Linked DNA regions of Coturnix japonica. The protein of the gene in region 1 interacts with the protein of each later gene in a pairwise test. Links are inferred from orthologs where the notes say so. Each region holds a gene or a part of one and is shown on either strand. Other genes may lie near its edges.

Region 1 (3,500 bases):
AGAGTTATTGTCCTGCATCAAGTGATGCAAGTGGGTGAGATTTACTAGGGCAGTGTTTTAGCCTTCTGTGGTGTCTTGTTTTTGCAGTTACAAGAACATCATTGCTAGTCAGACTGGATTTCTTCTTGATAAGTATAGCATAGCTGTCTTCAGAAAGCATATTGTTCAGGGGTCAAATGTGTTTAGAGCAGGAACCTTTTTGGTTGACGACTTCATGGGGTCCTTGTTTATGAGTAACAGTTCTTGCTTGGATGAGTAAAATAAACCACAAGAAACAACAATTGGTGGGCAGGTAGTGACCCCTGAACAGTGAAGCCCTATTTGCCTCTGTTGAATGCAGTTGTTTGCTTTTATTCTCCACTCCTCTTTTCCTGTGGCAGCTCCTCTACCTTTTGGTGGACTAAATCACCACTAAGGTCCTTTTCTGTGCTGTGAGTGACTTTGCTTTCTTGTCAGTTCCTGATGGCTTCCTTTGATCAATTCTGTTACTTTGCCTGTTAGCTTGGATTGTCTGGACGTAAAGGAACGTGCTATGTAACATTTTGCTTTTTGTTAAGTCTTCCAGTGTAATTAAAGTGTGCTAGGAACAGGGGCACACTTAAAGTGGGAAAACATTTCAATTTTTCAGGTTCTTGCAGCCAGTACATAAGATTGATATGAATCTAACAGATCTCCTTGGAGAACTTCAAAGGGACCCGTGGCCAGTGACCCAAGGAAAGAGGCCTTTGCGTTCCACTGGAGTAGCTCTTTCGATTGCAGTTGGCTTGCTAGAGGTACTTTTATTGCAGCTGTTTGTTAGGGATGAGCTGGTCAAAGTAAGCACATGGCAGTTTTTGCTGAGACATGTACAGGTCTCAGTGCACATTGGTTTGCAGCCCAGTTACTTTGAGATGCAGTGGCATATTTTGTCTGTGCTGATGTGTGGCATGAGTTAGCACCAGCTGGTGTAGAGTGGGCTATAGGAATTTATATTTAGCTGTAAACTGTGTGAAAGGTGCAGGTGTTTAAAGGTTTCTAATTCTTACATATATTGCCATGTGAAGGTGATTGTATGTACTGTGATTCTTTCTGTTGTTTCTTTGCATGGGTCATCTAAGGTTGAAGTAAAAAGAATTGAAACTGCCTGCTTCCTGTTGTGATGATTGCTGTAGTTTGAGTCTAACCTAGAGGGTGCCTGTCAGGAAATGTCTTGCTGTTTTTCAGGCCTGCCTGTAACAGAGATAGGTCCCAGATGGTGTTGCAGAATAACGTACAGATTCCTCTGTAAAGAAACCACTGTCCTCTCCCTGAGTTCTAATATAAGATCTTGTCTTTATTTTAGGGCACGTTTCCAAACACAGGAGCCAGAATAATGCTATTTACAGGTGGTCCGCCAACACAGGGACCAGGCATGGTGGTGGGAGATGAATTGAAAACACCCATTCGTTCTTGGCATGACATAGAGAAGGACAACGCGAGGTTCATGAAGAAGGCCACCAAGGTACGTGCTGGTGTCAGCTGGGGGAGAAAACACACACAGCAGCTTAGGCTTGTTGTGTGTGCAGGGGGTGCTTAAAGGCAAAATACAAATGCAAGTGTTGGAATACAGAATGGGGTTGGGAGGAAGGAGATGACCCAAACCTATATAGGCAGCTGTCCAGTATCATTCTGTAGGTCATGGAAGTCTTATTTTCTTTATATGGAATTAGTATGTCCAGACATTTGCATGGATGTTCACAAAATGCATGAGCCTTTCTGTGTGTTAAGCTATGAGAATGGTCAAAGGATGGGTGAGAGTCTTATTGTTAGTTACTTCTCCAAGTATGGTCGTGTGCCTTCTCAGAAGTATTTCAGTGTTCTCATCTGGCTGCTGGGGAGCGGAGGTCCTTTTACCTCCTTTAGGAGAGGGGAAAAAATACAAGCCTGTATTCCAAGAACTGGTGATTTCTAAAAAGGCTCCGTTTTCTCTTAACATATGAAAGAATAGTTAAAATATTAGGTGTGAAATGTGCCTGTCAGCTTAGAGGCATATTCCTTCATATTCCTTAATGTTGTTTGTGTTGTCTGTTCTCCCCAGCACTATGAGACTCTGGCCAATCGCACTGCCACCAATGGGCACTGCATTGACATCTATGCCTGCGCCCTGGATCAGACTGGACTGCTAGAGATGAAATGTTGTGCAAACCTCACTGGGTATGTCTGCAACAGGAAACACAAAGGTGGCACTTTTATTTCTGGAGGGGGAGAACAGTTTGGAAAGCAGTTAGTTTTCTATGAAAGCAAAAGGGGGAGATTTGTGTCATTTTATTCTAAATTGTGGTTTGAATTTACCAGGAGTTACATGGTAAACCTCCCCTGATCCCAGGCCACATTTCTGAAGCCTCAAAGTAGCGTAAGAGTTAACACTGCTGGTAGAAAACTCAATGTCCTGCTTTGGAGAAAGGTATTCTAAAGCATGATGCAACATGTCTTGCAAAAATGCCTTCTGTCTCCTTCAAGTGCCCTGGCAGGTAGCAAGAAGATCCTTTGCAGAACTGGTGGGACATAGATCCCCTCTGTTGTGTGTGCGTGACTGAAATGCTATCAGAATAGCAGAGCTTCAGGCATGGTGGGTAAATGCTTTCATTGTGTTGGCCAGATTTCCTCATGCTTAACAGCTCATTTTGCTTTCTTAATGGAGGTAGGCTGAGCAAAGCTCTCTTCTGGGTAGAGCTGTTTGTAACCAGTGAAAACAGGAGCATTTTTAAGGCAGCTGAAGGGATGACAAGAAACATAGCTTAGAAAGCAAGCTGGCAAAGGTGGAGCACTAACTTGTTTGGCTTTGGAGGCATCCATGAATATGTTCCCTGATGCAAATTCTACCTATGCAAAGGCATGCTTTAAAACAGTTTCTGTCTGTATTTGAGTGCATGAGAGTTGGAGGGGTTTGTATCCTTGGTGATATACTTCTAGCTCTCAATTGTTTCAATTCCCTTGCGTGGCTTTTTTTTCCTTCTCAGAGGACACATGGTGATGGGAGATTCCTTCAACACTTCTCTCTTCAAGCAGACCTTCCAGCGGGTGTTCAACAAAGGGCTCAATGGGGAATTTCGGATGGCTTTTGGTGCAAATTTGGAAGTGAAGGTGAGAGATAAGTTTAATTAACTGGCACTGACTTAGAAGTGCAAGTGCTGTTGATTGGAAAAGTTGACTAGGTATTTACGTGTAGAAAATTCTCCATCTTTGAGGTCAGCTGTAGTGCCTTCTTTGGAAAAAGCATCATGCTGGAGTGAGGGAAGGCATTCTTTATTTGAAATTTTATTAAATTTATGGTTAAAATAATAATAATAATAAAAAGCTGAGCTTATTTTCACCAGCTGTGGCAGTAGGGGTGACCTGTGAGAGTACTGAAGGATGCTTTCCATGGTAGCCTTGTATATTCACCTTCTGATTGAAGCTGAGCACCTCATTCAGTCTATGTGTGTTCCATCTGACTAACTTGATTTTTTTGTTTAAGCATTTTTGTTGTCTTGTTCTAGACA
Region 2 (4,241 bases), on another chromosome or scaffold:
GTTTGTCCCGATGATCCCAACGTGTTAATATGTAATACCGTGAATTTTCCTACGATAGCAAATATTGTATATTTGAACGATTTTTTTTTTTTTTTGTCATTTATATTTGTCTTGGAACTCATTTGTAAGACCGTGTCATAAATTGGGAAGTATGTAACAAATTGGGAAACTTTTGTCGCATGACGTATCGTTCAGATCTCTGTATAAATCCGTCTCGAAGGTTTGGCTAAAGTTGATTCAAACAATTGTATGTTACAATGTGTTTCGATGTGTTCGTTGTGAACATTTGGATATGCCGTGTAAGTATTGGAAGTGGAAAAAAAAAAAAGAATCATGTCTGTGAACTCTCTTTGGAAGTGATCCCGTGTTCAAGTATCCCCCACGATAAATGTGTTTTATGTCACACGGAAAAATAAAGATGCTTGTTGACAATTAATTGTGCTTTTTTTGTCTGCTTGGTTTTTTTAATTAGAGAAACAGTTCGAAGGAAGGAGAAAAAAATAACCAACACGCACAAATAAAGGAATTCGACCACACTGTTATTATTATTATTTTTTCCCCTATGAGCGAAAGGAATAAAATAACCCGAGGTGACGAATGGACAGTATTCAGTCCAGTTCTCTATTTTAACTTTGGTTTGTTTTTTTTCCTTTCTTTTTTTAAGTTAATGTATTTATTTCTCCCAGCGCGGTTGATTAATAAAGCGGAAAGCTTCTTTATGGCAGGGCTTCCTTCCACCGTGCTCCGGGGTTCCTCTAGAAAGCCCGAGCCCGGCCCAGGCGGCCGTGATAGAGCCCCATTCGCACGTAGGGCAACCAGATTTGGGAAGGAGCAAAAAAGTGATGGGCGAAACTTCCCGGGGTTGAACGCTCGGCTGAGGACGGGCGGCTTTCCGAGGCCGAGGGACACGGGAATTGGGCTTTCAAAAAGAGGGGGTAAAACAGCCCCGCTTTAGGATAGATATCCGGATTAGATATTCATTCTGCTGTGTACCACGCGAAAATCGAGGCGAGAAAGTGCTGTCAACGATGAAAAAAATAAAATAAATAAAAAAAAAAATGTCAGAAATGAGAAATAAGAAATTAAAAATAAATAAAAAATAAATAAAAAATTAAAATAATTTTTAATAGCCCGAAAAGTCCCTTTCTGAGGGCGGCCGAACGCAGTGTAGAACGGGAGCATCGTCTGAGCTGAAGTTCCCCTTCACCGCCGCTCTCGGTCCCCGCCGATGGACTAATTGCCATTTTAATAAAATTAGTGCGAACTCCAGGTCTGCTTTAAAAAAAAAATAGAAAGAAAATCCGGGGCTGCCTCTGTGGTAAGATGGCGCCTCTCTAAGACCTGCCTCTTCTTAGTGATGAGGAAAAGGCCATAAATCCGTTGTTGTTTATGAAAATTTACAACTTTGCAATACAACTTTATGAGTTGTTCGGTTTTTCCATTGGTCGTTGTCGGTCATGTGGATGGTAACCGTGAACATGAACTTTTTTATAATTTCCCTTGCGAGAATAGAGCCGCATTCTTTTGCTGAGCTCTGTCCTGCTTCGGATCTCTCTGGCTTTCAATCCCCATTTCATTTGCTCTTTGTAAGGCAATAGTGAACAAAGTGTGCGGAGGTTCGGCATAAGCAGCCGCCTAGAACACAGATCCGGGATGGCAATTTCCAGTTCCCCCGCTGGAAGGTGTGGCATATTGGATTCAAAGCACTGGCGTGGCAGATTTTCAACTTGCAACCTGGCTAATTTCCTGCTTCTTCTGGCACCAAAAGGAGGGCGATTCGTCTCCTGTGCAGCCAAAGCGACAGCTGTCAAAGTCGCAGGGGCTCCTGTGAGCCAGAACCTAAAAGGTGAGAAATGTATATGACACTGCCGTAAGCAGGGAAACATGCTTTAATACGGGGAGATATTAGACGTGTGCAATTAAAGCGAATGGGGGAATGTGAGCGGCCAGAAATAGACGCGGTCGCAGCTCGGCTCCTTTCGGTTTAACCTGTGCATGCGGAGATGCTGAATAAAATGCCGATTTGCTATTATTTCTACGGGAAGCGTGGATTTTTCACCAAGTTTATTTCTGCTTGCGTTTGCCGGGGGGTCGCTGTGGCATTCCGATTATTTTCTAAGAATTCAGGTTTACAGCATCAATCCGGGAGCATTACTGTTATTATTATTATTATTTTTGCCGGCGCGGAGGCGGGGGTGTGTGTGGGGGGAGATGATTTATATATGTATATAAAAGCAATATTTTTCTTTCGCAGCATTAACTTTAAGCTCCATCGCGGCAGCTGAAATTTAGATGTGATTTATCTGTGATTATTTTAAGTCTGTTTTGGATAGGGGGTGGGGTGGTGGAATCACGGCACAACGCTCCTGTGTCCGGGGGAAGGTTCTTCCCGGAGCACGGCTGTGCCTTTGGTTGTCTCTCTCGGCTGCTCGCCGCGGAGCCGTGGCGCAGCGCTCGGGCGGCGGCAGCGCTCAGCTCGGCTGCGTGGAGCAGAGAGGATGGGGGAGCCGGGGCTGAACCCATTCTCCCCTCACTGTGAGAGGGGAGAGGGTGCGAGTCCCCTCCCTACAACCCCCGGGGAAGACTCTCGGGCCCCCGCCGCCGCCCCGTGATGGTGACAGCCATCACGGGTGAGCGGCTCGCAGAGCTGTTTGTGCCGCCGAAGCCTCGCATTTGCATTGCATTGCGGTACCCGGCGGAGTGGGGCTGCGGCGAGCGGCGGATTATTTATTGCAGGCGGCGGTGCTCAGTGCTGCCACGGCGTGGCCGAGCCGCGGAGGCGGGCATCGGGAACGGGGCAGCGCCGGGAGACTGCGCCGCTGCTGCCGGCGCAGCGCAGGGGCTTAACCCCCGCCTCCCCTCACCCATAAAGATATATATTAAAAAAGAGATATATATTTTAAAAAGGAAATCCTGCCTACCGCACCTCTATGGAGCATCGCTCCCTTGGGCCGATGTTGCGCTGCCCCCTCCCTTCGTTGTGCTCTCGGTGTGTGTGTGTGTCAGCTGGGGGCGGCTCTCGGTCTATGCCCTCCAGGCCTCTCCCCAGTGTCCCTCGGGTCAGAGCGGCCGCTCAGCCGGCCCGGAGCGCTCGGATTCGAGCTCTTGGTTAAAGGGTAGGGGGCTGGGGTGGGGGACGCTGCCGAGCAGATAATGGCTTGTAAGGGGGTTTGTGTACGAGGAGAAGGAGGGTTTTAGGGTTAGGAGGGGAAGTGCCCCCGCACCTGTATCTGTGAATGAAGAGAGGGGGACGCGGGACGCGGGGAGCTCTGCAAACAAACATACGGCCCGGAGATACCGGGGACTGAAGCATGGGGCTCTGTGGCAAAACGCTGCGGCTGCCTTCTGCTTCCCGGCAGGAAAACTGCAATGAATGTGGCCGAGCGGGCAGAGCTCGGGGTGCCGAGATTCGGGGTGCTCGGGGGCGGGGGGAGGAGCGCAGAGGACGTGAGGATATGAGACTGTGATACTGTGAGAGCAGCACAGAGCGCAGCGCAGAGCGTTCGGCTGTCACCGAAACGGCTCGGCCGCGGCCCGGCCGCGCAGAAGGGAACATAGAGCGTCTTTCGATATTATGGGGGCAACGAAGATATGCTTTCGCTGCTCGCGGCCGGGGTTCAGATGGTCCGGTTTGAATGCGAGCGATAACTCGAGGGAGAGAAGGAAAAACCAAAAGGAAAAAAAAAAAAGAAAGAGAAATAAATCAATGCATAAAGCAAAGCTGCAAAATGTAAATAAAAGAGCCTTGCGCGATTTTTAAACCTCGGTCTCCGTGCGATGGATTCACACAAAGGCCGCCCGGCCACAACTTTTTAAAGTAGGGCCGCTGCGCTCCGCTCGCCCCGAATATTGATGTTTCACGGCGCGTTTTCGTTCTGTTCCACGTTTTTGGAAATGCTCTCGTTTTAAAGCTCTTTGTGCTCACCGCGCTGTGTGCCGGGCTGCTGCCGTTCCCCCTTTTTATAGCCCTATTTGCAGAGAGTACAAAACTTTCCTGGGGAAGGCAAACACTCGTTTCCCAATGAGCCCGCAGCTCAGAGCCGGGGCTCTGCCAGGTGTGGCCGCGGGTCGGCCGGCACCGGGAGTTTAAGGAAGTTGAAAAAAAATTGGAGGCAATCAACATCTGAATGTGAAAGTCCAGCTGAGGCCGCGAACAATACGAACTATTGTGGGGCGACGTTTTAACTCGCTGCTGTTTTATAGGTATCGTAATCAGCCCCCGGAAATGAGATAAATAGTCC
Region 3 (4,195 bases), on another chromosome or scaffold:
TTGCTTTATGGTCAGCAGAGATTTTTCAAACATAGCCACACAATGAAACAGAAGTAAATGGGAAAATTACTTAGAAAAATAATTAAAATCAACAACAAAAAATAACAACAAATGAGACTTTTTCTCCTTCTTGCAAACTGGAGCACTCTGTATTAGTAAACTGAAGGCACAAAAGAAATATTCTGAAACAAGCAAACTGAAGTGTGTACAAAGAGGCAAAAAGTACAGCAGTACTGCCATCTACTGATCTGAGACCAGAAGCTGATCGCAGAAACTTGATAATCTCACCTCATGTAAGAAAAACTTTATTTATACTTTTATGAAATCAAAACAAGGGATGCAGGAAAAAAATAAATACAGAGGGAAAAAAGAAACACACACACACACACAAAATAACCAACCCTGTGTGTCCAACGTTTAGTTATCCTTAAAATAACCCCTTTAAGAAGCAGCACAAATCATATCAAGTTCCCAACAGTTATTTGGTTTATTAAATACGGCCATACAGAATCACAGAATCACAGAATTACCCGGGTTGGAAGGGACCTCAAGGATCATGTAGTTCCAACCCCCAAAGGCCACTCTGTAGCTGAGAAGTGACCATACAGATTCTCACCAGTCAAACCTCAGCCTAAGCCGTGCTCCCAAAGGCAAGGGAGTGCATGCACTGAGGTGAACAATGGCTCCAGACCTGATCGAAAAATTTCACAGAGCTCATGTCAAAAGCAGGAAGCAAGTGATTTGAATTAGAGATTGAGCTAGCAAGTTAATCATTTTCTTTACTTGCGTTTAATAGGAAGTGACTGTGTTTGTTTCAGTGTTTTGCAGTAATCTCAATGACATGACCATACCTCAAAACTGTTATTTGGGTTATTACTCTAACTCTGAAATTGACAGTTAATGGTAAGATTACCTACGATCGGAGATAGGTAAATTTCACATGGATAAGAACACATTATCCAGAAATCAGACAGGCTTCAGAGTTTATGCTAGGTCATATTTGATGCCATTCTTGATTAACCCCTTCTTGCCTTTCAGTAGACACTCCTGCTAATAAATGACAAAAACAATATACTTAAGAGCCTGAAGGGGCAACGTAGTAGGAATGTAGTAGGAATACTGATCTCAAATGCTATTAAACTTCTCACGTTTAAATCATAATATGCATATCTATTTCACTTAAATGCATGAAGCAGAGTAATGGTCACATACACCAGTGATGGTTACATGCAAGTTAGCAGCCTGCCAGAATAAGCAGCAGTCAGTTACTTATTTCATAGAATCGCAGAATCACAAGGTTGGAAAGTACATAATCATCTAGCCCAACTGTCCTCCAATCATCATTGCTACCACAAGCCACTAACCCATAACTTGTAGCTCCTCATCCAGACACCTCCTGTACACTGCCAGGGATGGCAACTCCACCACCTCCCTGGGCAGCCATTTCAGTTTCTGACCACTCTCTGAGAAAGTTTTTCCTTATGTCTAATTCACAGTCATGATCCATTCCCAGTGCAACCACTGCTTCAAACAAAATGTTACACCCCAGGCTGCATTAACTGAGACATAGATACAGAATTCTACTGAATGTAGTAAGAGACCAAGGGGGACTGAAAAGCCCAAGAACTCATACAGGTTTGACCAAAAGATGCTAAAAACAAAACAAGATGCACACAAAAAAGCAGAAGATAAATTAGAACGGCATCCTACTAAAGATGAAGTGAAGCTGACCTAAATCAAAAACACACCATTTGTTCTCTAAGTACACGAAGTATAAAACTTTCATTCAAAGCATTTCTGACATTGGTTTATTCTATGTTAGAAAGGGAGAGAAGGCCAGGGATAAAATTCAGAGCCTGCAGGGAGGTGCCAGAGGGCACACAAAGCCTCACGGGAGCCAAAGGAAGGGCACCAAGTCCGTCTAATCACCAAGTATTGAATGATCCTCTTGAAGTCCAAAGAGAGGCACATAATATGCAAAAATAAATATAGGAAGAAAGAAGCCTCCCACAGTTATTTCATACTAATAACAAAAACAGTAGTAATCGAGGAGTTGAAGATATGCTGAGGTGCAACAGCTCCTGCACTTCCAGATGCTGCTTTGCAGGGTGATTTTTTGTTATTGTTGATCTATTTTTTCCCCTCTCTTTTCAAAAAATAACTGTTTTCTGGGTTGTTTTTTTTTGTGAGATATCATGAATCGCTGAAATCAAGGGTAATTCACTTCAGCGGTGCCTCCAGTGTCTGATCTGACGCCGCAGCACCGCCTGTCAGACAAAAGCCGGTCCCCGATGGGAGGACGGTCACAGCCCGCAGTCGCTGACACCGGCACCGCACAGGTTCCCCAGGTGGGAGCCGGGCACCCGGACCCTACGGAGGCAGTCGGGCAGGGCAGCCGGTGACTCACCGCGCACAAGAACGCGCGAGCAGCAGCCAAAAGGAACATACGGCGTGCCGGCCCGGCCTGTTAGCCGCAGTGCTGCCTGCGGAACCCTCACGGACCGAGGTTATCGCGGCTTCGGCCCGGAGCCTCTGCCCACCCTCACGCGTGGCACCGAGGGGCCGCGGCAGCGGTGCGGCCTAGGCGGCCAGCTCGACTCTCTGCCGGCTTTTCCCGACCCCACCGGCTCTCACCTCCGCGTCCACCCCGCGGGTCCCGGCCTCCCGCAGCGCCCCGAGCCCCACACCTGCCCCAGCCGCTTCGGGCCCGCACCGCCGCAGTCGGACCGGCAAGCGAGGGCGGCGACGGCTGCGCTACGGCCCCGCCGCCCGGCCCGGCCCTCCGGACACTCCCTCCCGCCGCCGGGGACGACGGGTGACTGCGCGGCGCCGTCCCGTCGGCGCGACTACAGGCGCCTGCCGAGCACCCGTTGCTGCGGATCGGCCCCTCCGAGCACCACGGGCGGAGCGGCAGAGCCGGCCCGGAGGAGAAGGGGCGAGCCGAGCCCCAAAGGCAACGAAGCGGGTGACCGCCGGCCCCAATGCCGACTACGAGTCCCGGCAGGCTCTGCAGCGAGGCGCCTGCGCCCCGCATTGCCGCTCTGCGGTGCCGCCCCCCGCCACGCGTCGCCACGTCTCCTGCGGGGCGCCCGGTGGGGGTGGCCGCCCGCTGTGAGATGGCGCCGCGGGGCGGGCGTTGTGACTGCCGCTTGGCGGGGCCATTCTGCTGTCCGTGCCGGGGAACCTCCGGCCGGGGGGCTTGTCTCTCCTGCGGTTCTCGTGGCGATAATGCCGTGTTTATTCGTGGCCGCTGTGGTAGAATAAAGCCACGAACGGCCGGGGAATGGTTTGGGAAGGGGTGCTGAGCCGCCGCCTGAAACTGACTGAGTGACGTTAATTTTTCCAAATGGAGATTTTCCTAGGAGACGATTCATAAATGTTGAATTTTATTGATTCCTGCCTGACTTCCACCGACTCTTTGGTAGGCGGGTTAATTAATAGCATGTTCAGGAAACAGTTTCTACCATGGAAACATAATTCTTAATTTTGCTTAGTCAGTTTTTTTCAATTGCTTTGATTCTGACATCTGACCTACTGGAGGCATTAGGAAAGGCAGTAGATTTATTGACTACCTATCTGCAAGAGAAAGGGTGGGCTATAAACCCACAGAAGGTGCAAGGACCAGGCCTGTCGGTGAAATTCCTGGGTGCAATTTGGTCAGGAAAGACCAAAATACTATCCAGTGCAATAACAGGCAAAGTTTAAGCATTCCCAATCCCTACTGTGCCAGGGCGGCAGCAAGAATTTTGGGGCATATAGGGATACTGGTGTTCCTTTATACTTCACTTAGCGCAGTGGCTGAGGCCTTCATACTGACTCCAAGGAAGGCCAAAAGTGGGACTGGGACTGGGGAAGAACAGAACAAGAGGCCTTCTAGCAAGCAAAACTAGCTGTTAAACAGGCCCAGGCACCCTTCCAGCCAAACTAAATCTCCATGTGCCTCAGGACAAGTTAGGCTGGGGCCTACAGAAGTGCTAGAATTCCATTCGAACCCCAGTTGGGTTCTGGTCTCAGGTCTGGCCGGAGCAGAAAAGAGGTATAATATGATTGAAAAGAGTTACTGGCTGCCTACCGTGCATTACAGACAGTAGAGCCAGTAACCCAAGCAGATGAAGTTACAGTTAAGACAACCTTGCCAGTTCGGAGGTGGGTGAAAGGTCTGACCCATGTTGGTAATACAGGGGTGACCCAAGCA

What was found. The genes of interacting proteins can lie anywhere in the genome.
Region 2: the proteins of SEC23B (region 1) and HOXA3 interact in binary tests that used the Homo sapiens proteins (3 or more experiments, as listed by UniProt). The two-hybrid records come from large-scale screens. The link is inferred for Coturnix japonica from reciprocal best matches to the Homo sapiens genes SEC23B and HOXA3.
Region 3: the proteins of SEC23B (region 1) and PRRC1 interact in binary tests that used the Homo sapiens proteins (3 or more experiments, as listed by UniProt). The two-hybrid records come from large-scale screens. The link is inferred for Coturnix japonica from reciprocal best matches to the Homo sapiens genes SEC23B and PRRC1.

Annotation. Positions count from the first base shown.
Region 1 is NC_029518.1:13,391,556-13,395,055, reverse strand, and holds part of SEC23B (protein transport protein Sec23B), read left to right. Parts: intron 1-628; coding exon 629-773; intron 774-1,321; coding exon 1,322-1,480; intron 1,481-2,056; coding exon 2,057-2,172; intron 2,173-2,978; coding exon 2,979-3,102; intron 3,103-3,497; coding exon 3,498-3,500. UniProt on the Homo sapiens protein: Component of the coat protein complex II (COPII) which promotes the formation of transport vesicles from the endoplasmic reticulum (ER).
Region 2 is NC_029517.1:29,870,869-29,875,109, reverse strand, and holds the start of HOXA3 (homeobox protein Hox-A3), read left to right. Parts: upstream 1-1,441; 5' UTR 1,442-1,653; coding exon of another isoform or gene 1,654-1,846; intron 1,847-4,241. UniProt on the Homo sapiens protein: Sequence-specific transcription factor which is part of a developmental regulatory system that provides cells with specific positional identities on the anterior-posterior axis.
Region 3 is NC_029547.1:50,254,307-50,258,501, reverse strand, and holds the start of PRRC1 (protein PRRC1), read right to left. Parts: upstream 2,801-4,195; 5' UTR 2,688-2,800; exon of another isoform or gene 2,635-2,687; intron 1-2,634. UniProt on the Homo sapiens protein: May act as a regulator of the protein kinase A (PKA) activity during embryonic development.